2 linked regions of the Lytechinus pictus genome follow. The protein of the gene in region 1 purifies or fractionates together with the protein of each later gene. This does not show direct contact. Links are inferred from orthologs where the notes say so. Each region holds a gene or a part of one and is shown in the gene's direction. Other genes may lie near its edges.

Region 1 (13,201 bases):
TTTCTTTTTGTACATGTATCATGTTCACATTTTGTAAGAAAGTTGTTAGATGGAAGAATCAAATTGTATTATTTGTTGTCTGTAGGGGCGTTCTATAAGTTTGACAATGCTCATTTATTTCCCTTGATCATACTCTATTCAGGAATGTTTTATGATGTGTCTAATTCAGTACTTTGTGATATTCTACCTCCTTTGTCTATTATAAAATCAAAAGAGATGTTAACTAGTTTATGAGGCTTTTTAACATGTCGTGCTTGCAAAAAAAAAGATTACTTGGTTTCCTTTCGTAGGCTGTTTCGAGAAACTTGCAATTGATCGCAAGCCAATGTTTGGTCCAAAATCAATCGAAAGTCATGCTTTTCTTCGCAAGTTTACAATAGATTGATAGTCTGCTTCTTGCATCCACAAATATAAAGTGATTTGCTCAATAATTGATCACGGTCCCGGCAGCCACTGAGCAGTGCCAGATTGACGTCGCCCTATCCCTTAAATCGTTGAACGGGAAACGGTAGAAACAACTCACACCTTTTGAATGTCTTTTGGTCTGACGCGGCCGGGACTTAAGATCACAACCTCCCGGTCGTGAGGCGATCACTCTACCAACTGAGCCAACACACCAGGAAATGTCAGATACATGTATCTTGCGAGCCTTGTACATTGTAAATATGTTATCGCCAGTGGGCTATTAAAACATCAAATGACACTTAAGCACCCCTTTTTGTTTAGACGAGTTCTCTACAGGAATAAGGTGACTATTTTAAAGAAAATATGAGCTTTGCTTCCGTCAGCGTTTTTTTCTAAAATTCAACTTTTTAAAAGCTGCCCTCAGGTTATTAAACTTTTGCATTTACATGTAAAGATTTAAAAGCCCGGTGAAGAATATATTTATTTCGCCTGCAACTTCTCAATGGTGTGAGTTTTTCCTATAATGTTCATGTGATATTTTTTCATGATATTTTATACTTCTTACGGCTATCTCTACTGTAACATGATCTTCTCTGAAATATCACATGCAAAGCTGAATGAAAGTCTTCCCAAAATAGCTGTTCACCTCAGACACTAACACAAGTACATTATAGAGTGTGTATGTTAAAAATACATGATTGCTGAAGATTTCTATGTTGTAAAGGCCAAGCAATTGCTACCTTTCATATATTTTGTGTGAATCACATATTTCTTTCAGGAAATTTTCTATTCAGATTCAAAATATGAAATATGGGATCTTGCTGAAAATGTAAACCAACCAGGGTCCAGTTTCACAAAGACGTTATAATAACAAATGCCCAATTCTCCAACAAGTTTGCTATCAGCCAATCAGATTGAATGATTTCAGTAGTTTTTAACTTTTATTGAAAATGTGTTAATAAATCAATCTTTATGAAACTGGGCCCAGGACTTCATATGAATACTGCCCCATTCTACAACAAGTTTACTATCAGCCAATCAGATTTAAGGATTTCAGTAGCTTTTCACTGTTATTGAAAATGTGTTGATAAATCAAGCTTTATGAAACTGGACCCAGGACTTAAATGAAGACTCACTTAAGTACAACTTCCCTTAGAGTACAGCTTTCCTCCCAGTATTGTAACTAGAGAGTTGAAAATATCACCCGTACAAAGAGTGCATTATATTCTATGACCCATATTCTTAACCCTGATTTATTAAACTTAACCCTAACTAGGCCGGGCTTTTTTGGCTGTTCTGTGGCCGGGGGGAAAATTTTACAATACAACCTTGTAAATTACATCGCACACTACCAGCGTGCAAATTATTGCGGCGCTCGCGCGATCGGCGGCCGAGATCTCAGGGGGGGGTTGATATGTAAAATTTTCCAAAATAATGAGATTTCATTTTATATGAATTAATTATGCTAATTTATGCATAAATCATACTTTTTGCTCTAATTCACTAAATAAAGCTCCTAGAATGCTAATTTTTTGTAAAAATATTCTTTATAGCATTCTTAACAATGGCAATTGAAAAAAACTTCGGTTTGGAAATCAATTTCCTATGTATTTTATTGTTTTATGAATTTCTTATTTATTTCTTTGTTTTTCAGTGTTTTTTCAATGAAATTAGTTGGGGACTCTTCTAAGATCATAAAAAGCATAAAATACATTTAGACCAGCAAAACTAAAAATAATCATACATTTATGATTTTTGGTTGAAAACACAATTTACATTGACTTTGTACACGAAATCACGTTTTTGAGCAATTTTTGGTCTGACATGCACCTACATAACGTTGCGTAATTTCGTACCCGGGTGACGCAAAATTGGTCTCAAAAGTTGCGCAAGACTTGAAAGTAAAAAGTCAGTGAGCAGCGCGGCGAAAATATCGCGCCACTCGTTGAGGGGGGGCCTCGGAGGCCCCCCCCCCCCCCCCCCCCCCCCCGGCCTAGATAGGGTTAAACCATGGTCAAAGCCTAGTGTACAATTATGGGAAGCTATGAGTGTAAAAAAAATATTTAAAATTTAGTGCTTAATGTGTTTACTAGGATACTTCCCATGGTTTCATGATGAAAAAGTCTATTGTAGTTATCATTTCAAGAAATCTTCTTTTTTTTTCAATTTAAATGCCAAATGTGATGATATATTGATCGTCTGATAATAGAAATTGTCACATTTGGCCTTCCATAGCTAAACCAGAGATTTAACATTAGACTGCGGTTTAAGTTAACCCAGAGTTCAGAATATGGGCTTATGCCTATCAATTTATATTTCTTTTTTTTTTTTTTGGGGGGGGGAATGAGTTTATGAATGGATAAGGGTAAAAAAATACATAACTGTTATGCAAGGTTCACTGGGAGAACAGTTCATAAGAGCTGAAGTGGCTACCCTTAGAAAATAGGACATTATTGTGATTGTTATATAGTTTCTAGTTCTGTTAATGTATGTGTACATGTCTTTTACATGGGGAAGTTTTATACTTTCAGTTGACCACTGTATACCATAACCTGGCACACACAAGAAAGGATAACGGAATGTTCTCATATTGAGATTCATTGTAAAATTCTACATTCACCTTTTCCAATTTAATAAAGGACAATCCACCCCAACAAAAAGTTGACTTGAAAAAAAGGAGAAAAATCCAACAAATTTCATCAAGGGATGTGCAATGAGAGTCAATCATGTCAGTCAATGTTTCTATTTTATTATATGAAATATAGAGTATGTCATTTTTGCAGATAGAAAAAGTAAATATCTTCATGAATCACATTAGGGATCCCACTTATTCAAGGAATCAAATCCTGTTTCACATTATGAGGAGAATTTATATTTCATGTAAAAAACAAAAGAAAGAGTAGTTTTCCTCATTTACACATTGACCATGATGTGCATATAAATGTTTTGCGAAATAAAAGCAAACCTTTAACTTATACCAGATTTTGATGAAATTTCAGGGAGTTTGATTTTTCTCTTTCTATTCAAATCATGTTCTTGCTGGGGTGGATATTCCCTGTACTTAAAGGAGAATGAAACTCTTGGAGCAAGTTAGCTTTTGTGAAAGCAGAAAAATAAAAAAATAAGATCAACAAAAGTTTGAGTAAAATAGGACGAGCAATAAAAGAGTTATGAGCATTTGAATGTCGAGATCACTAATGCTATGGAGATCCTCCCATTGGCAATGCGACCAAGATCTGTGATGTCACACACGTACAACTCTCCCATTTTGACACTGAAAATATACCCCAAAACATTTCTTTTTGCTCATTCTAATCATATGACAAACGATTCATCAATGATATAATGTTGTGAAACCTCTGTACTTGTCATCTCATAAAGAGAACACCTCACCTTGTGATAGACTCTATAAAAGTGAGAATATAAGTGAAATAAGTACTAAAGTAATGAGGGAGTTGTACGTGTGTGATATCACAGATCTTGGTCGCATTGCCGATGGGAGGATCTACATGGCACTAGTGATCTCAATATTCAAATGCTCATAATTTTCTTATTATTCATTCAATCTTCCTCAAACTTTCAACAATGTGTTCCTTTGATTTTTCTCTTTGATATGGATTCAGCTGGTTTCAAGGGTTTCATTCTCCTTTAAGGTGTAAAAAAAGTTAATCTAAGAATAATCTGTAATAAATGGACATTATAGATGATAATTTCATCTAGGCTGTTGTAAAACATCAATTGTTACTGAAAGGGAAAAGCGACCTTATCAAAATATAAAATGCTGCAAACACATGGATTTTTAATTTTATTTTTAGAGGAGAAAAGGTATCACAAATAAGCCCTGTTTCATAGAACCTTTTCTCAATTCCAAACACAAGAGAATCTAGCAATTTTGCTCTTGACCAATCGAATTGATTCCTTTTCAGTAGCTTAAAACAGCAGCCTGAAACTACCTGTAATAAAGTGTTTATTGAAATGGAGCTCAACAAATGTAAGAGGCAAGATGATATTTCCTTATCCCCCCCCCCCTTCAAATTGCAGTTCATGTCTCTATGTTAACACCAACTATTCAACAATTTTTTTTATGCTGACAGCATGAGGAATTATCTTCATGTTATTGAAAGTGTTGATTCCCAATTAGTTAAATTATGTAAAGCAAGTTGAACATCATCAGTTGAGATTAAAAACTTGCTATGTTTTCTTATTGTTGACTTGAGTTAAGGATTTTATAAAACTGTTGTATGTAAATAAATTATGCACATACTGAAGAAAAAGGTTTTATTAGAAAAAAAGTGGATATGGAATTGAAAAAAAAAGTGTACACATCTGTATGTAAACTGTGATAAAGTGTACAATATGTATATATATAGCATCTCCAGATTAAGAGCATTTTGTACTTGTGGTACACAGAGATATTAAAATCAAGTTTATGGTGATGATCACAGATTTCATTTTTATTTTATTTTTTGTCTCACCTGCATAGCAGAGTGAGACTATAGGCGCCGCTTTTCCGACGGCGGCGGCGGCGTCAACACCAAATCTTAACCTGAGGTTAAGTTTTTGAAATGACAGCATAACTTAGAAAGTATATGGACCTAGTTCATGAAACTTGGCCATAAGGTTAATCAAGTATTACTGAACATCCTGCCTGAGTTTCATGTCACATGACCAAGGTCAAAGGTCATTTAGGGTCAATGAGCTTAGACCATGTTGGGGGAATCAACATCAAAATCTTAACCTAAGGTTAAGTTTTTGAAATGTCATCATAACTTAGAAAATATATGGACCTAGTTCATGAAACTTATACATAAGGTTAATCAAGTATCACTGAACATCCTGCATGAGTTTCACGTCACATGACCAAGGTCAAAGGTCATTTAGGGTCAATGAACTTTGGCCGAATTGGGGGTATCTGTCGAATTACCATCATAACTTTGAAAGTTTATGGATCTGATTCATGAAACTTGGACATAATAGTAATCAAGTATTACTGAACATCCTGTGCAAGTTTCAGGTCACATGATCAAGGTCAAAGGTCATTTAGGGTCAATGAACTTTGGCCAAATTGGGGTATTTGTTGAATTACAGCCATAAATTTGAAAGTGTGTTGGTCTAGTTCATAAAACTTGGACATAATAGTAATCAAGTATCACTGAACATCCTGTGCGAGTTTCAGGTCACATGATCAAGGTCAAAGGTCATGTAAGGTCAAAGAACTTTGGCCACGTTGGGGGTATTTGTTGAATTGCCATCATATCTCTATAAGTGTATTGGTCTAGTTCATAAAACGTGGAAATAAGAGTAACCAAGTATCACTGAACATCTTGTGCGAGTTATAGTAGTTTTCAAAATCAGCACTGCTGCTATATTGAATCGCGTGATGCAGGTGAGACGGCCAGAGGCATTCCACTTGTTTCTCAAGAGAGTTTTCACATTTTGAGCTGTGAGTAACATGATATAATCTACTGTTTGGTATATCACCTTTATTTATTATAGGAGGGATGGGGCAAGCCAATGTTTGCACACTTAATGCCCCCCCCCCCCCCGCATCCCTTGATTATAGTGCTTATACCTCAGTCACATTTGCTTTACGGTGGCCGTACAGCAAGTAAAAAAACGGTAACATTTTTGTTCCAGCTACATATAGTTGGTTTGAATAAAAATAAATAGAACGGCTGTTTTCGACTTAATTGTCATACGGCCGCCGTAGGGGATATGTGACTGTAGCACTATCAATATGTCAAATTTTGGCTCAATCGAATAGATCTGTGGTCCAAAGACATGCGACTTCTTTTACTTCATGTACTCCCTCCATCTCTCCGAAACCTCTCTTCTCTTGATGACCTCTTCAAAAAACATCTCAAAACACACTTATATAACAATAAACCTTAACTTGTCTTATGCCATCAACAACGCTTTGTATCCTCTTTAAAAAGCGCCATATAAATCCAATTATTATGGGCCCAGCTAATAGAGAAATGAAGGATTATCGAGGGAAATTGTGGTAGCAGGTGCACTAGGGACCAAAAAACTTGATGAGAGAGATTGAATATGAAGGGAGAAAGAAGTGGGGTAATTAGACTTTAAATAGAGAGAGGGGAGAAGAAAGGAGGTGGATTGTGGGAAGAAGGGAACAGACACAAAGGGGTTGGGTAAAGAATGAGACAGAGAGGAAGTTTAGTAGAAAGGGATCTAGGTGGTGAAGGACTATAGTGGGATGGGTATATAGAGCTAGATAAATAGAGAAGGGGGTGGGTGATGTAGAAAGAGAGATTGTAGTGAAAAAGTGGACTGATTGATCTATAGGTAAATGGTGTAGAGAGGTAACCCGGGATAGAAAGGGAGAGAGATCGGGTATTGGCGGGAGAGTAATCGGCGGAAGGAAATAAGATGGAGAGAGAATTACAAGAAGAGTTGGTTGAGAGGGATGAAAAACAAAAAGGAAACAAACTAAAACATGGGAAGCTCGGATAATAGGAACTATATGAGAAGAGACAATTATTTCTATTCTAGGCCCTGTTATTTTTTTAAAACATTTTGACTAAACGATATTTAGAAAGAGGAATAGGGTTTTGCAAGATTTTTCAGGATTGACACAATTAACAGATCGAAGAAGGGGAGAAAATGGTTTTTGTCCACTAATTCATTTCAGAATTTGTCCCCAGTCTCGCAAGCTCGATGTTAGACAGGAATGACCGGCATGCCGGAATGACCATCATTTCTGTGGATTTATTTAACAATTTCTGACATTTTACCATCCAATATGCAAGCTTTTTGTCTAGCCTAGCGCTCGTTTCGCTAGCTCGTACAAACAGTAGAGGTACAATGATATGTACGAAGTGTCATCACTCTTTCGTTTGATAGTTTATAAGTTCAGACCCCAGTATAGTACTTTCAAGCGATCTCCCAATCGTCTGGAGCAAAACACAGTGTTCTTATATTTATTTCCTTCGTAAAATGATTTTAAAGTTAAAATAAAATGTCACGTTTGATATTGTAGTTGTTTAGAAGCTTTTTTCTAAGAATTGATTTTTACTTCTGACATTACACCGTCTGCGAATTCACTCTAAATATTCTCACGGTCAAAGGTCAATTTAAATCTCCCATTGATGATGTCCATGTGGCATACCGGTGATGCTGAGTTGCGGCTTCCGTCGTTTGTTTCCTTTGGCGAGTTTTTCGCGAGGTTTCTCCCCAAAACACTTTGAATTGTGTGCTGCAAGTTGCTATCCCTCTTTGAGTAGTAGGAACTCATCTAGGAAGGCAGAATCTCTTGTTGATCGCCTAAAAGACATAAAGAAATCAGCTGCTATGGCCGGTCAAGTGGACGGGGAGGTAGACATCGAAACTGTGCTCGCGCCCCTGCGAGCCTCCGTGAAAGAGCAGGTACGAATCGCTCTCTCCTCTCACTCTCACAGTGCCCAACGCAACGACACGGCAACAGTGCAGTGCAGTGTAGAGGAGAGACGGGGGTGGTATTCTGAGATCTATTTTATCTCAGATAAAATTAAATATGTATCTCTGTTAAATCAGTGAGATAAATTGCTCTCAATGCTTAAAATCTCTTCAAATTTAATTGGTATTCTGAGAACCATTTTTAATTTTTATATCTTTTTCTTTAATAATAATCTTTTTCTTTAATAATTAATAGAAATAATTAGAATAGACTTCACTAGTAGTAATGAGAGTGAGTAAGACAAGGTCCTAACATTAACTTTTTACATGTAGTTTGGTTCACTCACATGTATTGCGAGGTTAGTAGATTAGTATACTATTACTAACCTCGCAGTCGCACCATGAACCGCGTCTGGCAGTGGATTTCTAACTAGTAGTGGGTCGCGCGTGCTGGGATCTCACTTCTTGGGTCCACAACACACGACTTCTATGGTAGGTACGCCACTGATAATTCAAATCTTCATCCAAATCTGTTGAAACTTACCTCAACATAAAAAAAATGTGTCACCCATTACGATGATGCATTGATTAAGACATATGATGAAGAATAACTCAAGTTATGATTTTTTAAAGAAATGATTTCTAAGTATTATCCATTCCGAACGAATTGTCGACCATCGAGTATCAATCACCACCGCGCATGCGCATTCGGGGATTGCCAATTCGGGGCGGAGATTTTACATCGCGCATAAACGCTTCTCGCGGCATGGTGACGAAGCGTAAGTGCGCATCATTTGTGAATGAGATTGGTCATTTTCGCGGCGCTCATAAATATGCATGTGCGTTCATGATACGCATATATCGGAGTATTTTGTTGTTTTGCAAACAGTGTGCAAGACGATTGATTTGAGACTTGAAGTTAATTTCACATGTTTTAACTAGATTATCTGAATTACAGTGCACAATTACGACATGGAAGACCATTGGGATGGATTTCAAATATAATATGTAAGTGAGTTGATAACATTTGGTTTTGCATCTTTCTTTTTTCAAGTTGTTTTGAGATCGAGAATTTTTTCTTTCATTTTAATCATCATTTTTTGTTTCTTGTCTGTCCACCGCAATTTTTTGTAGTCCTATGTTAAATGTTCCCCTTCAGTACACTGATGCCTGAAAGTATGAATCCGAAAAATGCACCCCCCCCCCCCGCGTTCATCCTTTCTCTCGATCCCTAACAATAACATTAAAAAGGATAATAACATAAGCTGATACTAGATAGTTTTGACAAGTTATTAAAGTCGTTTTTTTTTTTTTTTGGAGAGGCGGGGTGGGGGGGGGGGTGATGTAATTCCCATTCCCCCCCTCTCATTTTTTGTTTTTATTCGTTACTTGATATCCTTGCCTTTACGTGATTTCCTATGCATGCTCAATCCTTGAAACTTTACATAATTTTAAAATATTTTTACAGATCCATAGTACACCATACAGAACTTTTTTTTAAAGGAGCTAGTCTCAAGTTTGCCTCTCTGTTTTGTTTCCTTTTCTGTGAGTTCCTTTCTTCTCATTTTGTTCCTCTCCTGTACTAACTTTACAACCATTTGCTTTTGTTTTTGCTCCTCTAGCCTCACTTTTTTCCCAATTTCATTGCATTCATTATTTTGTTTTCTCTTTCATCTACAGGAAATTTTTGTAGCCAGGAGGCTGTATCATTTGATGAAAACATCAGTTTGGATTCGACCTTACCACAGAAATGTTAGGGGCCCTATGAAGCATTGCATCCGCTCTGCCAAACTGCCTCTCACCCGAGATATTTGTAGAACTACACGATGCACTTTCTGCAGCAAGATCCAGCTAAAGTTGTGATGAACTAGCATATAATAGATTTCTTATATTCATAACATTCATCATTCCAGTTCTTAATTGATATTTCAAAAGTTTAATAAATCACTTTACATGCATTTAATATATTTCTTATATTCATATCATTCATCATTCCAGTTCTTAATTGATATTTCAAAAGTTTAATAAATCACTTTACATGCATCATATTGAGCTGTACACTGAATCTTGCCTCATAAGATCATTTGGCTTCAGCTCTACATAATACCCCCCCCCCAGCAATAAAAAATGAAAATCTAATAAAACAATAGAGCTGCAGGCAGTAGCGTACCTAGGATTTTCCACAGGGGGGGGGGGGCAAAATCGTCCGCCCAAAAATTTGACAAGCAAAAAAGTCTTCAACCACAAATAAAGGATTTCGTACTTTCGGTCTTAAACTTCAAAGGAGGGGGCCACCGGTGGCTCATCAGGGGGGGAGGGCAGGGATACGTCCCTTGCATGGGTTGTGACTCGTCGGGGGGGCAGTCTGCCCCCCCCCCCATAGGTACGCTAGTGGCTGCAGGTCCACCCACCCATCTGTATCAACCATTACCTCCAATGAGAATACCTAATTTTAAATTTTATTGAGCAACTTCATTAATACTGTTAAAATATCCAATTTATATTTTTATGTGGAGTTAATTAATGTAACCAATGCCAACAAGGAAAAAAAATAAAATGAATACTTTCATGTGTCAGTGTGGATTTGTCATTTCTTTTTTAAATTTATTTTAATATTCAGATCTGTATGTGTATCCTTTTTCAACACTATGTTCCTTCTCTTCTCTACTGCATGTGCCAAATTGTTTGTTTTTTTGCTCATACTTCTTAAATAAATCATGAAAAAATTACATAAAGTCTAAATAAAAATATTTAAACAGACAACCAAGAAAAAAAGTGTTAGTTTGGGGTGATAGAAAATGTTAGAAGACAGTTGGGGGGGGGGTGAGATAAATCAATTGTTTCTTTCTTGTCAATTTAAAAGCTGCAATTCACATTTGTGAATAATTAAGTAGTTGGTAGAACAATTCCTGCTTAAAGTTGCAGTCTGAATGGAATGCAGGATCGCCAAGAACAAAGCCCAGAGGCAGAGGTGGGGTTGGTTTTTTTAAGGCGGCATTTCCATCACACTTTCTTGGAACCACAGATATTCGACGGCTCATGCAGCCCAAGTCTGTTCATTGTTGGGCCCCTCGACTTCAGATCAGTAAGTATTGCCATGCTCAAATGGAGGTAAGAAATTAATCTGAATGAAAATAAAAATATGAAAACAAAAGAAAATTAAAATGATAATGAATTAAATTAGATCTAGGCCATTCATTTTTAAAATAATAAAAAATTTAAGTTTGATTAGGCCAAAAGAAATCATGTTACATGAATTTTCAACAGAATATAATCATCAAATAATAAATCAAGACTAAAGTAAATTACCTAAAGTAAACTAAAGGCTAAAATTAGGTTCGAGAAGATTCAGAAAGTTGTTGCGTCATTTGCCATTTTTTTTCAATATTTTATTCAATCAAAATGAATGTGTGTCAGTGTGGGATGTATTTCTGATTTCTACATTTGTGTCTGGTTTTCAATTCCTAATTTATAAAAAAGAAAAAGTTTTTTTAAATCAAAGAAATACCAGACATATCACGGTAGACGGTCTGCTACACAAATTCCAATGCGCAGGACTACACACCGCGGGCAACCAAAAACCCTAGCAGCCGCCATAAATTAGCCCGCGAAACGCGTCGCCAAAATTCCCACGAAAATCCCACGAAACAAATAGCAAGGGCGTTTAACATTCGTCCGTGGCAAATGGTGGCAAGAAATGCTGCCATGAATGAGGTAAGAAACCCGGGGGGGCCACTTCCATTCACGAGTGGATACCATGCGCGACCACGGGGTCTCGAAAAGCACCCTAAACACGTATTTTCCATGTTCTGAAAATGCACCCCTTAACAAGTATTGGCGTGTGAAACCCTACCCTTAACAAGTATTGGTAACAAAATGATACTCTTGGCAAATGTTCCCTGAAATGAACCCCTAAACAAGTACAGGAATGTTTTATTGTTACGGGTCCTTCGGTCGTCGACTTTACCTTATTTGGTTTAGTACGACCCCACCTTCTACACCTCGCGCAAATCGGACTCTAAACACGAAGTGTTGGGGCAAAAAGGACATCCTTTATAAAACATTTAATTTTGTTTTATCATCCCCGCGAATTCGACCCTAAACACGTAATTTTCCTAGCGAAATAGATACCCTTTTTTCATTATTTTTGTGTTTTTGACACCCTTATCACGTTACGTACGTAACGTGCCCTATCGTGAAAAAGACATCCTTTTTACGTGTTTTTTTGGTCGCGCATGGTATCCACTCGTCAATGTAAGTGGCCCCCCCGGGGTAAGAAATGAAAGCTTACGACTTCAATTTTCGAGTAGCATATGTATTTTTAGCGTAATATGTCTGATAATTCCATGAAAATAACATATAATGATGATTTGATGCATAAACTGTACTTACAGACTGTTTTAGTGCAATTTTTGTTCCGATCTCGACGATCTCGACCCTCCGTCGCAAGAGCTTACCGTGCAGTATAGCTGAATGCATTGGGAAGATGATGTCATCGTTTTCATTCCCATTGATATACGTTTACCATCCTAGACAGGAGACTCAAGTAGGGCTTGCCGTTATTGCTCGCACCGGCTCCCGAAGCAGCTTGTCGCCATTTTCGTACGCGAAAATGATGACGCGAAAATCGCGCCCTCTCGCGCTAGAGTAGCGTACCTATCTATGGCTTGATTTTTCTGTGCGCGGTGGCATGTAATGAACCCTTGGGTGGTTTGGTTACCATGTAAATTTGTGCACATTCAAAAATTATCATGCAGTTGATTTGTAATAAAAAAATTCTCACAGGTCACACAAAATCAACTAAAATAAATACCAAGCTAAAGTAAAGGCCAAAATCGCTCAACAAAGACGGAATTATAAAGTAGGTCAAGCTAGGGTTTCGCTAGTATCGCAATCTCAAAATTCTTTGGCGATCGACTAATGTGCGCTCAGCTTAAAACTGTCATAAAAAAGTGTGACCTTACGCACGAGTCAATAGTTATGCAAAGCTTAAAAAAATCAAGTCACGTCAAGCAAACAAGGGTAAAATTGTATCAGATGGAGGTTAAAAAACAATAAAATCGGTTGGTAGATGACATTTAACTTACTTTTTTTAGACCTCTGCTTGCAAACTGGCAATTTCTTAATGCTTGCTGTGAACTTCGGTTATTTCAGAACGTACCCAAAAGGTATTTCACAAGTGCAGATTTTATCTTTAACTTCAAAGTTACATGTACTGAGTAAAATTTGGGTCGCTTTTCCTGTTAGTGATATCATTTTTTCAAGATATTGATTAAATCCTAGCCATGACGTGTTTTCCTTCAGCAAGAAATGTATCCACACAGTGCTGCGCGCGACCCAGGTGAGGTGAATGGGTACCCGGCAGGATTATTTCCTTGAACGCACGGAGCGCCGGTGATGG
Region 2 (12,753 bases), on another chromosome or scaffold:
ATGAAAGAAGTTTTGATAAAATCTTATAGTCACTAAACTCACTATTGAGAAGCGATATTGGGCACCAGTTTTTAGAAGTAACTGATCTTTATCTTTTGATATAACATAGTAATATTACTTGTACGCAAAGGTTGAGGAAGAATATGAAAAGAAAAAGAGAACTCTATTAAATGAATATAGCAAATCTTTATACCATGCCATCATAAAACTCAATGGGTAACCCATCCGAAAAGTTGCTATAGACTCACAGCTAACATGGCATTTCTATTTTATGAAAGGTTAGATATCTGTATAAATCTCTGTCAAGAAAAGTCAAAGTTGAGCATGCATCACATTGATGAAAGTTGAATCATCTTTAAATTGATCATATATAATTTGGGAGTCATTGCAAGTTTACTTAACCAAAGTTTATTATCTTGCAGACCTGGAGGGCCTCCTCCTCCCCCTAGGAGAAGAATGGGAGGATTTGGAGGCAGAGGATCAGGACCAGCTCCACCACCTGCTGCTGGAGGTGGATGAGGAAGGCGAGTAGCATCTTATTTAATGTTTTATAGTCAGAAATGTGATTAGGGCATGGAATGCTACCAATTGTTACGTTAGTGATTGTCTTTTTCTAAATTTGCCCTTAGCTAGTTAGGTGTAAGAATTTCAGGTGTTTCCAAATACTGCGACTGACATTGTTGCCAAATTACTTCATTGAACTCTTCATGTTGTCACTTTTATTGCCCTAGGCCTATCCCTCCATAAAATAATCAAATGAAATACATGTACACCAGTAATTGACACAGACAATCATTTTATTAATTTTGTTTTGTAATACCTGTACCTGGTCTCATCCAGGCCTGAACTCTTCATGTTGTCACTTTTATTGCCCTAGGCCTATCCCTCCATAAAATGATCAAATGAAATACATGTACACCAGTAATTGACACAGACAATCATTTTATTAATTTTGTTTTGTAATACCTGTACCTGGTCTCATCCAGGCCTGAACTCTTCATGTTGTCACTTTTATTGCCCTAGGCCTATCCCTCCATAAAATGATCTAATGAAATACATGTACACCAGTAATTGACACAGACAATCATTTTATTAATTTTGTTTTGTAATACCTGTACCTGGTCTCATCCAGGCCCTGGATGGACTGTTAGCTTACAAGTGATATGCATGTAGAAAAGCAGAAAAGAAAAGCAGTGGGTAAAATAAACTTCACCCAAATGAGACTTGGCAGTTGTTGCACACATTTATCTTGGTTTAAAGACCTTTTCCAAATATGTTGGCTACTTAGTTGCCATTATAATTGCTTGTTACATATGATCCTCAATGGCTTGTACCATCAATCAAGTAACCCGACCACTCGATAATAAGCCCACCTAAATTCCCTAAAGGTTGGGTTCAGTTCACCCAAAGCATTGTGAAAATTATTAGTCAAATTTATGAATGTTTGGGTCCAATTTACCCGATGTTTTATGAAAATTATAATCTGAATATTTAATGGGTCAGGTAAACTGGACCCAACCTTGCAGGAATTTAGGGGGCCTTTTTCTTGAATGGTTGGGTTACGTGATTGCCCGACCCGACACAATAACTCAATGTGATGGTACAAGCCATCATCAATGACCTTTGAACAGTGATATTTCTCATTACATGTTTTAACCGTGTTCAATGGACCTCTGTCATGCAGTTGAATTGAATTCCTCTTCATTTCTTTTCCTTTGCTCACAGGTAAATGCCTACTTCTTCTGCTAGTCACAAGGAGTAGGCCATAGGGTACCACCAGAAACATCAACAGATACAAATTTTTTCCAGATGTTCAGAGAGTCTTCCATTCCTCGATGACTTGTTTCTGCTGTTCTACTTTCTGAAGGTTATTATTGCTTTAGTGTGGGTTTTCCAAACGTTTTATTTCATTTTAAAGCCATTTCTAGATATTTAAATAACAAGGAACTTGAGTTTAGGCCAAGCATGAAAGGTGATAAGCACTTCTTCTCTGATGAATTATGGGGACTGTATTTTATGTAAAACTATGTAAGATAACAAGATATATTTTATGAAGCTTTTGATGTTAGTAATGATCCAGGGGATGATGTTTCATGAATATGCTGTGTCATAAAAAAGAAGATGTTAGTAATAATGATAAAAAAATGAGCTTTACATTTAAATTTGCATAACCATTGCATCCAAGTGCAATACTAGATATATTGGAATTGCTAGATGATAATAACTTTACTTTTTTATCATAAGATGGTTGTTTATGTTCTAGTATTGTTTATCGAAGTAATTTAATTTGTTGATATTTCTGAGTGGTCCACTATTGAATATCTTGCAGTATGTGTATCTGATAATGACGTTAAGCCAGTAAACTCACATTTCTGAGACTAGCTTGACTGAGAAGAAATGGATACATGATATATTATGTACAGTATATCATGATATTTTCTCCAAAGGATATCAATTTGAAGAAAATATCATGTTATTTTTATTTTTTCTTGAAGTATGTGGTTATTTGTGTACATGAATATCAAAGAAATGGGAACAAAACAAGTACAAATTGAATTACTGGTAGTTTGAAACTTTTGAATATCTAAATCCTAAATTATAGGTATATTTGTATGGGATATGGGCGAGGTCTGTGCCCAAGTTTCTCCCTTATATTTATTTTTTTTTTTATTGTAAGGCTTTGCATTAATTTTTGTTCATTCATACTTGTTATATTCATCATGCACTTCAATCTTGACTTAGATTTAATATTTTATTTTGTCATGTTTACTTGTGTTTACAAACAATACTCCCAAAGCAATTAATTGTATTGAGCTGCAGGACATGTATAGATTATTACTTCTCCCATTGTTCCATTTACATGTGAAGTTAACAATTTGTGTTTAATAGTGCCCTATTTTCATCTTAGCCATTGAGATGTTTCTTTGATAATACATTTTTATTTCATCTATTTCATCAATATAATGTAAAGAATGAAAAAGCCCATGATGAAATCATTTCTAATATTGCTGATTTATAAGTGTAATTATGATGATTAAGATTAGGAAGAGGAGGTGGAGGATGATGATGATTCTAATAAATATTTTCATAAATGTTACAGGTGTTTTATTTTTTATCACTTTATCAAAATTTTCATTAAGTTTACCATGTTACAATGTTTGTCAATGTGTTTATTAGATTTTATGAATTTTGCTTGATTAAATGTAATAACTTAATACTGTCCTCAATTTTGTGAAGGTTATTTCTAAGTCTTTTGTTCCTCTTTCCTTCAATGCTTATTTTTTGGCTTGCTTTGGGCTGATGATTATTTGATGATATTGTTCAAATGCATTGTTATATTGTACATACATGTGAATATTAAAACAGATATATTCATTCTGTAACTTATGAATAGAAATAGATATATCAATTATAATCAAGATGTGTCAGTTTATTTGTATGTGGTGTTTGTGCAGCAAAAATCTTTCCATACATAACAAAAGTGCTATCATTTTATCACGTTTAACTCTTGTGATATGTTTACAATCAATGTATTATAATGTAAAATAAATGAGGGAGGGAAAATTAAATGAATTTAAGAGAGAAAACGAACAGTAAGGATGAGAAAATTAGTATGTTTAGTGATGAACTAGAACAATGTCAGGAAATGGGATACTCTTTATTGAAAATGAGAATGAATCAATAACAAATTGGGTTACTTTCTTTATGTCAAGTGTACATTAGGGCGGCATAATATGACCATAATGTTGAAATATTGTGCCATTAAACATCAATGAACAATCATTGTGGTATTGGGTTCATGGGTCCATTCAATAATTTTAACTTAAAATCCGTTTCAGACGAGAAATTGCCTTGAAACGCTAAACATCACAGCCCTTATTCCCACTGCCCTCTGTATTAATCCAATCTAACCCACAAGATTCAAATGGAAAGGGTCAAAGAATACCATCCATAACCAATGTTTTATTCCTCGTCTCCATTCTGTTAGGCTTAGCTGAAAAAATGGTATGTTTGTGAACGTTACTTGACAATGTTTGACACCCATTGATTCATCGGGGATGACGATATATAACAAAATATTGTGCAATTCTAGTTTTCAATAAACCTGCTTTTATCCATTCTTGAATATAGCTCATCATCTTTAAATCTTTAATTTGAAATTGTTGACCTGCGAAAAAGGATTGGCATTCTGTTTTGAGTTCAATGTATAAACATTTAACAGGTTTTTCATGAAGTTAGATCGGCAGGAGACTTGTACATGGAATAGCAAGAGCAGTAATGTTGAGACTTGTGTCAAATGCTTGGAAGGTTGCCAATGCTGCAGCATAATTTACCCAGCCTGATGTTCGTAACATCTGTCTTATACAAACATTCAAATTGAGCCAATGATGGGGGGGGGGGGGGGGGGGGTCCACTGTATACATGAAGGCCTACGACAAACAATGAGTAAAGAGTGTAATTTTTGCCAGTAGAGATGTGAACTTACAACCCTTTTTGTCTCACCTGCATAGCAGAGTGAGACTATAGGCGCCGCTTTTCCGACGGCGGCGTCAACACCAAATCTTAAGTTTTTTAAATGACAGCATAACTTAGAAAGTATATGGACCTGGTTCATGAAACTTGGCCATAAGGTTAATCAAGTATTACTGAACATTCTGCCTGAGTTTCATGTCACATGATCAAGGTCAAAGGTCATTTAGGGTCAATGAACTTGCACCATGTTGGGGAATCAACATTGATCAAAATCTTAACCTAATGTTAAGTTTTTGAAATGTCATCATAACTTAGAAAATATATAGACCTAGTTCATGAAACTTAGACATAAGGTTAATCAAGTATTACTGAACATCCTGCATGAGTTTCACGTCACATGACTAAGGTCAAAGGTCATTTAGGGTCAATGAACTTTGGCCAAATCTGTTGAATTACCATCATAACTTTGAAAGTTTATGGTTCTGATTCATGAAACTTGGACATAATAGTAATCAAGTATCACTGAACATCCTGTGTGCATTTCAGGTCACATGACAAAGGTCAATGAACTTTGGCCGTAATGGGGGTATCTGTTGAATTACCATCATAACTTTGAAAGTTTATGGATCTGACTCATGAAACTTAGACATAAGAGTAATCAAGTATCACTGAACATCCTGTGCGAGTTTCAGGTCACATGACCAAGGTCAAAGGTCAATGGATATTGGCCATGTTGGGGGTATTCATTGAATTACCATCATAACTCTAAGTATATTGGTCTAGTTCATAAAACTTGGACATAAGAGTCTTCAAGTATCACTGAACATCTCATGCGAGTTTCAGGTCACATGACCAAACGTCATTTAAGGTCATTGAACTTCGGCCATTTTAGAGGTAATTATTAGATTGCTGTCATAACTTTCAAAGTTTATAGATATAGTGCATAAAATGTGGATATAGGGGTAATCAATTAAGTATCACTGACAAGTTTTAGGTCACATGATCAAGGTCCAATGTCAATGAACGTTGTATTGTATCATTATATGAATGGTGTTTTTTGTGAATAATTATTTAAATGGTGTTTTTCAAAGTCGGCACTGCTGCTATATTGAATCGCGTGATGCAGGTGAGACCGCCAGAGGCATTCCACTTGTTTTATATAAAAAAATCCGAATACAATTAAGGTATGTTTTTTAACTCATACTCTCTCGAAAATAATGCCACTATATAGTTGATTGCTCTTAGTTCATCTTTTCTGCTGTTTTGGTAATAAATTTCCATGAAAAGGGCCCGTTTCCATGGCTGGGATCACACTTTTACAGAACTGGGTGGTATAATAGTGACAAAAATGGTGATTCAACATGTGGTGGCATTTACATAGTTTCCAGCAAGAAAATTTGGCCCGGGAACTTGGCATGAGATCAGAACTTTGAATTAAGAAGAAAAATGAATTGATGCATTTCATCAAAATAAGGATTTGGGAAGTGGCAAAGGGCAGCTGCTACTTTTCAAGATGATGTAATAGAAGAAAAAAAAATGAGGGTAAGAGAAAATGAAGAATAAAAGTAAAACAAAAAAGTAGGGCCTATATGTTCACAATATCCCCATTCGAGGTGGGGAAGAAGGAAAAGTATGGAAACAAGAGGTAAATATGTGTTGTATAACTATACTATACCCATATGATATTATTCAGTAAAAAAAAACTTTCAGTTTTAGGTCGTCTGGATTTGAATAAAGTGATTTCTGATAAGTATGTTTGACTAAAACAGGGAGGGGGACCCTTGGGCATAATTGCCCCCCCGCCCCCGCCCCCGCCCCCTCCCAAAAAAAAAAAAAAAAAAAAAAAGTTGGCAGCAGCTCGAAACACCACGCTGCACAGAAACGTTGTTAGCCTAACAGACCACTATAGCAGTAAACGGTAAACCCAGTCCCATATTTCGGATTGTGCAGTAAAAACATCTATTTCAATGTGTGAGTAATGGGAGTAATGCATTGATGTAACATTACGCATTGCTGTCACATTGCCGGTTGTAACAGGGCCTCTGTTAGCGAATTGTTAGGGCTATGTTTCTGTGCGGTCAAAAGCAAATTTGGTCAGAGAAAAAATTTTTTCAAGATGTTGCCCGAAAGGCCATATCTCGCCCCCTCAAATGTCATACTTAAAAATATTAGAACCTAGCTTGTCGAAGCAAGCAGGGTTTTTCACATTTCATAAAAACCCGTGAATTCCACAACACAATACATGTATTTTGTAACATTGAAGCTACCATAGATTTAAAGGGCAAAACTGAAGTTACCAATAATGGTATCTGAAAGATGATGAAACCGTGTGAAAATTTGAAGAGAGTGAAAGGTTACTAGTAATTGATTGATCATTTTTTCGTCTGTATGATACTGTACGTTCGAACTATTTGCTGGGCATATGGATAAAAAAAATTAAGCACCGCATCAAGCTATAATTGTCCATTGTAAAATTCATAGTCTCTAACTTCAGACTTAACTTCTGAACGATATAGTAATATATACACACGTGTGTGCTGAGCTGAGTAACCCGAGTTGAACAGCGACCAGCTTTCGAGAGAAAGAGGTGAGTTATTTTCATCCTTATATGAGGTTAATGGAATTTAAAAAACAAATTGTGATTGGTAATATCGGGGTTTCTTGCAAAGATGTAATCAGTAGAAATTGCTTTGAAATGATTTGATAGGATAAAGCAAAGATACTACACTACAAGTGGAAGATCGGACACTTCGGCGATTTTTTGAAACGCTCCCAAACGCCCGAAAAATGCTCCTGAAGAAGGGCGCCCAATATAGCGTTGAGTAAGTAAACCTTCGCATATCGGCACGCGACTGTGTATAAAACATATTGGGGAAAATGAGAGAGGGGAGTTTGGAGAGGGCTCAAGGGTGGCGGATGGGAATATTTCCACGTGATTCTTCTCTTCCTCTTGGAAACAATAGCAATAATCCAATATTGATCTATTCAGAGCATGCGGCAAGATAGACAGGAATAACCGTCGTTTCTGGGGATTTATTCAACAATTTCTGACATTTTACTGTAATCCCCATTTACCGACGGTAGGGTGTACGTGTGGGCTCGCATGTGTTCTCATTCCCTCCCTTTTGTCAATTCACAGTCCAAAGTTTGATGTAATTTTACACATCGAATTTACAATCTAAGGATGTATAAACAACAAACTTAAAATTTAATATTTTAATATTTAAATACTTTAAACGATATAGGCCTAGATGAAAAAGGCATGAAAAATATACTTTACCGATGTTTAATTGGGTTGAACACGATAAAAATTGTCAAAATGGCAGCCAAACTATAAAATATTTACAAACGAACGTCAACAATCACGAATGTGATATCGATATTGCTTTCGATATTATACGATCTGCTCCATATGCGATCGAAACCGAAGATAAACGATACTAGTTATACTAGTACTAGTACTAGTTATAATCGCGACATATCGATTCGAGACATTAAGTTAATAACGATAATGACGTCATTCAAGATGGCAACTTGCAAGAAAAACCGTCAGGTCAGGTGAAAATGTCTTAGATGACAGATTTCTCAATCATCCAGAGGATTTTTTTCAATAACTCCGGCCCAAGGTATGCAATTACTTAAGTTATTTATATTTCCCTGATAATGGAAACCATGAAACTTTCAATTTTGCTTAAAAAACAGTTTTAAATCGCGATCTATAAAACGCTAGTTCACTATACGTTGGCTGTAGGTACGGGGCCCCATCCCCTTCAGTCTATGTATGGTGAGTGGAGCCAACGTAGTTTAGCGGAACAACCAAAATACAGAGACTGAAGCTTTTGGTCTAGCGGCAAGAGCTCCATATGATATGCACCCACTCATTCAGTGAACAAGGACAGGTTATGATATAACTTCTTCTTCTTCTTCTTATGTTGGTTTGAGTGGCAATTAGTCATATTTGACTATTGTCGCCATTGACTTTATCTATAAAATCTCACTTCTCATATTATTACCAATATGATGTATACATATATGAAATATTTTTCTTGTGCATCCTTCTATTATAAAAATGATGAATATAGTATACCGGTCTACAAAAGTTTGTCTTAACTCTTGTCAAAATGGCATATAAACAAATCTTCACCAAAAACAAACCGCTATCTTCAGCCCAGTTCCAACTAGTTGCGCTTGCCCTGCCCTTTCTAAGATGCAATCATACCGGTCAGCACGGTACATTGTGCCGATTTTTCGGACATAAAAATGCCTAGGTCACCCATGCATAGACGAGGGGGCGCTAGTGTGCCTGTGCTTACAGATGGGTTAAACATTAAAATAATTTGTTTCTTTTTTTTTTTAAACAACACCAACAACAACAAGGCGAAAACACTTGTGGGCTTTGTTAGTTATATGTGCAGAACATATCATTTTGTATATATTATATCATACATTATTATGTATATATATATATATATTCTTTTCACATTAGACTTGTACAAGCATATCCTTTCATATTTCTTATAAACAATACAATATAATAATATCACTCCTTACTAAAACTAACAAGGCTCCACATTAACTTTTTTTGGTGGTGGCCCGATATTGGTGGCCCGAAAAATATAAAGAAAAACATTAAAAATTAATAAAACAAACTTCTGAAATATTAATTCTGCAGCCACTACCACTAAGTTACTTTCACTTTATCATCTTGTATGTAAACCTTGTTTGCTGTTATTTTACTTTGCTAATTCATTGGTTTGTGGTAAAATATTAATTGTTTCTATCGTTGTAAAAATGAAATGATTGAAAGAGAATAAATGAATTTTATTGTTCGCAGGTTGTGTGGACTTTTTTTTTATCTCCGTATAGACACACACAGACACACTCATAATGGTAAAGTAAATAAATAGTGCATAGCAAACTCAGATAGATGTACAAAACAATGGTTTTTCATTTCTTCCTCTTTGAATCCTGAAACCTAGATTATGCAGGCCCCAAATCCAGTTTATTTCTGTTTTCTCTTTTGCAGCATATTATAGCAGGAGAAAATCACAGAAAAATATGCTGCAAAATTAGAACAATGCATAAAAGGGGGAAACAAATGAAAATAATTTTCAAAAAGTATATTACAAAAAGAAAACAAAAATAATAAAAGAAATAAGTGAAATAAAACAAAAGAAACAAAATGAAGAAAGAAAAAACAAAGAACAGGGAAAAAAAAAAATTAGAGAGAAAAAAAAAAATGAAAGAAAAATGAATTAAACAAAATTAATATAAACATGGGGAAAAGGGGAAAATTAAGAAGCCATTACGAATGTTTTTTAACAGCTGTGGCAACAGTCTATTCTGACTGGAATATAATTAAAAGCCAAGCAAATAATTTTCACTTACCTTCTGGGAATGGCACATTTCTATTTTTATATCCTTTAGTTTGTATTATTTAATTTTCAGTAGAAACATATTTATTTATCAGGCATATTCAATGGGAAGGGGTATAAATGGTTTAACCACTGTAAAAAAAAATGAAAGAAAAAAAATAAGAAAACGGCAAAAGTTATAAAACTTATATCTGGAAAAAAAGTGTGACTGTGGGAAAAGTCCTTCCCTATATTTGCCAAATTGTTGGAAAAATTCACATTTCATATCGATGAAATGCCTTCCCAAAGTATTTACTTTCTCAAGAGTGGTTTAAGAAGTCATTTATAAACAAGAAAGAAAGAAACTGTCTGTTCATTTTTGGCTAGAAAAGACACAGCTTCGAAAGAAACCAAGTATCAACATACATACAAATGCACATGTGGGACTGTGATGTACTTGCCTATGTGTTTTTATGTGTATTAATTCATTTGGAAATCTGTCTTTTGTAGTCAAAAGAGAGGTCATAATTCCTCTTCTTAATGCTTGCAAATTATCAGGGGCCGATTGCACGAAAGGGTCTTTCCAAGGACCGTCTTTCGTGTCGCCCATCTTTTATGATACGCCATGTGAAACGCATTTCAAATAAATTTTCTGCAAATACATTTTATTTGTCCGTTAAAATAAACAAAATATTTGTTTATAAAATGATCTGATATCGCATGAAATTACATAAAATTTGATTTAAAAGCAAGCTTACGAATTTTATTTGTTTATTATAAATTTCAGAAACACCCCGCTTATAGCGCATCATAAAAGATGGGCGACACGAAAGACGGTCTTTGGAAAGACCCTTTCGTGCAATCGGCCCCAGGGTACACCAAATTTTCGTAATATAGACTGTAGAATGTCATTTCATTGGTGTAAAATGTGACTTTGACTTAGATTTTCAAAGTTCTGTGGAAGATTTCTTAGCAGCAACATTTTTTATTGCAGCTCCCAGAGTCTGAATAGGCTGAGTTAGATCTAGAGCACAGCTGTATGCAGTGGCTTCATGCAAACTCACGCCAGCTGGCCGGCGCGGCTGGCTGGATAATAGCTACTGTATGCTATAGCTGTAGGCCTAATATGCAAACTCTGTGTGTGTGTATTTGTGTGTAGATCAACAAAAAGGGCGCATGACTAACTGGCTTGCAATTTGAACTGTAGAATGTTGATAAATGCGTGCAAAATCAGGAGAAAAATTGCGCTACTTTGAAAATTATTGGTTGCCTGATTCGGGCCACCAAAACTTAACATTTTATCAATAATGGTTGCCCGAAGTGAATTTCTGGTGGCCCCGGGCCACCGCTAATGTCGAGCCTTGGATATAAGTATAATAACCTTTTTCTCAGTACATTGTAGTTACATCTTCATGTGTGGCAATTTTGGCTTATTTTCTCTTTTTCTTTGGGACAAATGCCTTTTTTTTTCTTACACTGTCAGTTTCCAATACAGCTATTCATCATATAACTTGGCTCTTATGTAAATTTGATTCTTTGAATTATATTTTCTTAATTAAAAATAGAGATTGAAAAATGAAAATTTTCTTGCCATATTACTTTCCACCAATAGAGGGCGTACACAAAAATATGCCCAAAATTCAAGTTTTTGAGCGCTCTGGTGAATACAAAAATTATTTTCAAGTTACTAATACAAAATACATTGCAACTGTATGGAAATAAGTAATTTTGGTCACAAAAGTGATATTTTAATGATTTTTTAAAGTGTGTGCTATGTACAGCATTGGCATACCATAGTCCTACCTGTAGTAGTTCCCCCCAGGCAGGATGGTTGCAGTGAACAGGTGTAAGCTTGTAACCGATTTTGCAATCGGCAACCGATTCCATTCGATTTCACCACAATCGGCAATCACTTGCCGATCTTCGATCATGCCCCTTGAAGGAAAAAATCGAAAATAAAAAATCGGCGTAGATCTGGTTACAGTGCGTGATCGCTCAGAACATATTTCAAGATTGTTATTGAGGTGCTAGCTATTTAAAAGGTCGCATTATTCAGGGAGAAAGTCGCGGTATTATCTATGGCAATGTTTAAGGGGATAGATATCTTCTCTTCCAACTCATGGTGATAGCGGATGCCGCCGTGAACTTTGAAAGGTCGTATTACCGACGGAGCTCACTGCGTTACTCTCTTACATCGTTTATGATTATATACATTTTATTTTCAACCTCGTGGTGATAGCGGATGCCGCCGTGAACTTTGAAAGGTCGTATTACCGACGGAGCTCACTGCGCTACTCTCTTACCCCCTTTATAATGATATAAATCTTCTCTTCAACCTCGTGGTGATAGCGGACCCCGCCATTAACTTTTAAAGACTGTACTATTGACGGAGCTTATTGCGTTGCTCTCTTACATCGTTTATGATGATATTCATTTTATTTTCAACCTCGTGGTGATAGCGGAAGCCGCCGTGAACTTTGAAAGGTCGTATTACCGACGGAGCTCACTGCGCTACTCTCTTACATCGTTTATAATGATATAAATCTTCTCTTCAACCTCGTGGTGATAGCGGACCCCGCCAGAAACTTTTAAAGACTGTACTATTGACGGAGCTTATTGCGTTACTCTCTTACATCATTTATGATGATATTCATTTTATTTTCAACCTCGTGGTGATAGCAGAAGCCGCCGTGAACTTTGAAAGGTCGTATTACCGACGGAGCTCACTGCGCTACTCTCTTACATCGTTTATAATGATATAAATCTTCTCTTCAACCTCGTGGTGATAGCGGACCCCGCCATTAACTTTTAAAGACTGTACTATTGACGGAGCTTAAATTGCGTTGCTCTCTTACATCGTTTATGATGATATTCATTTTATTTTCAACCTCGTGGTGATAGCGGAAGCCGCCGTGAACTTTGAAAG

The links.
Region 2: the proteins of glycine--tRNA ligase-like (region 1) and isoleucine--tRNA ligase, cytoplasmic-like fractionate together in Homo sapiens (co-fractionation; 3 studies listed by BioGRID). This does not show direct contact. The link is inferred for Lytechinus pictus from reciprocal best matches to the Homo sapiens genes GARS1 and IARS1.

The regions. Positions count from the first base shown.
Region 1 is NC_087257.1:6,196,697-6,209,897, reverse strand, and holds the start of glycine--tRNA ligase-like, read left to right. Parts: upstream 1-7,518; 5' UTR 7,519-7,539; coding exon 7,540-7,791; intron 7,792-13,201. UniProt on the Homo sapiens protein: Catalyzes the ATP-dependent ligation of glycine to the 3'-end of its cognate tRNA, via the formation of an aminoacyl-adenylate intermediate (Gly-AMP).
Region 2 is NC_087247.1:36,589,702-36,602,454, reverse strand, and holds the start of isoleucine--tRNA ligase, cytoplasmic-like, read left to right. Parts: upstream 1-6,741; 5' UTR 6,742-7,060; intron 7,061-12,753. UniProt on the Homo sapiens protein: Catalyzes the specific attachment of an amino acid to its cognate tRNA in a 2 step reaction: the amino acid (AA) is first activated by ATP to form AA-AMP and then transferred to the acceptor end of the tRNA.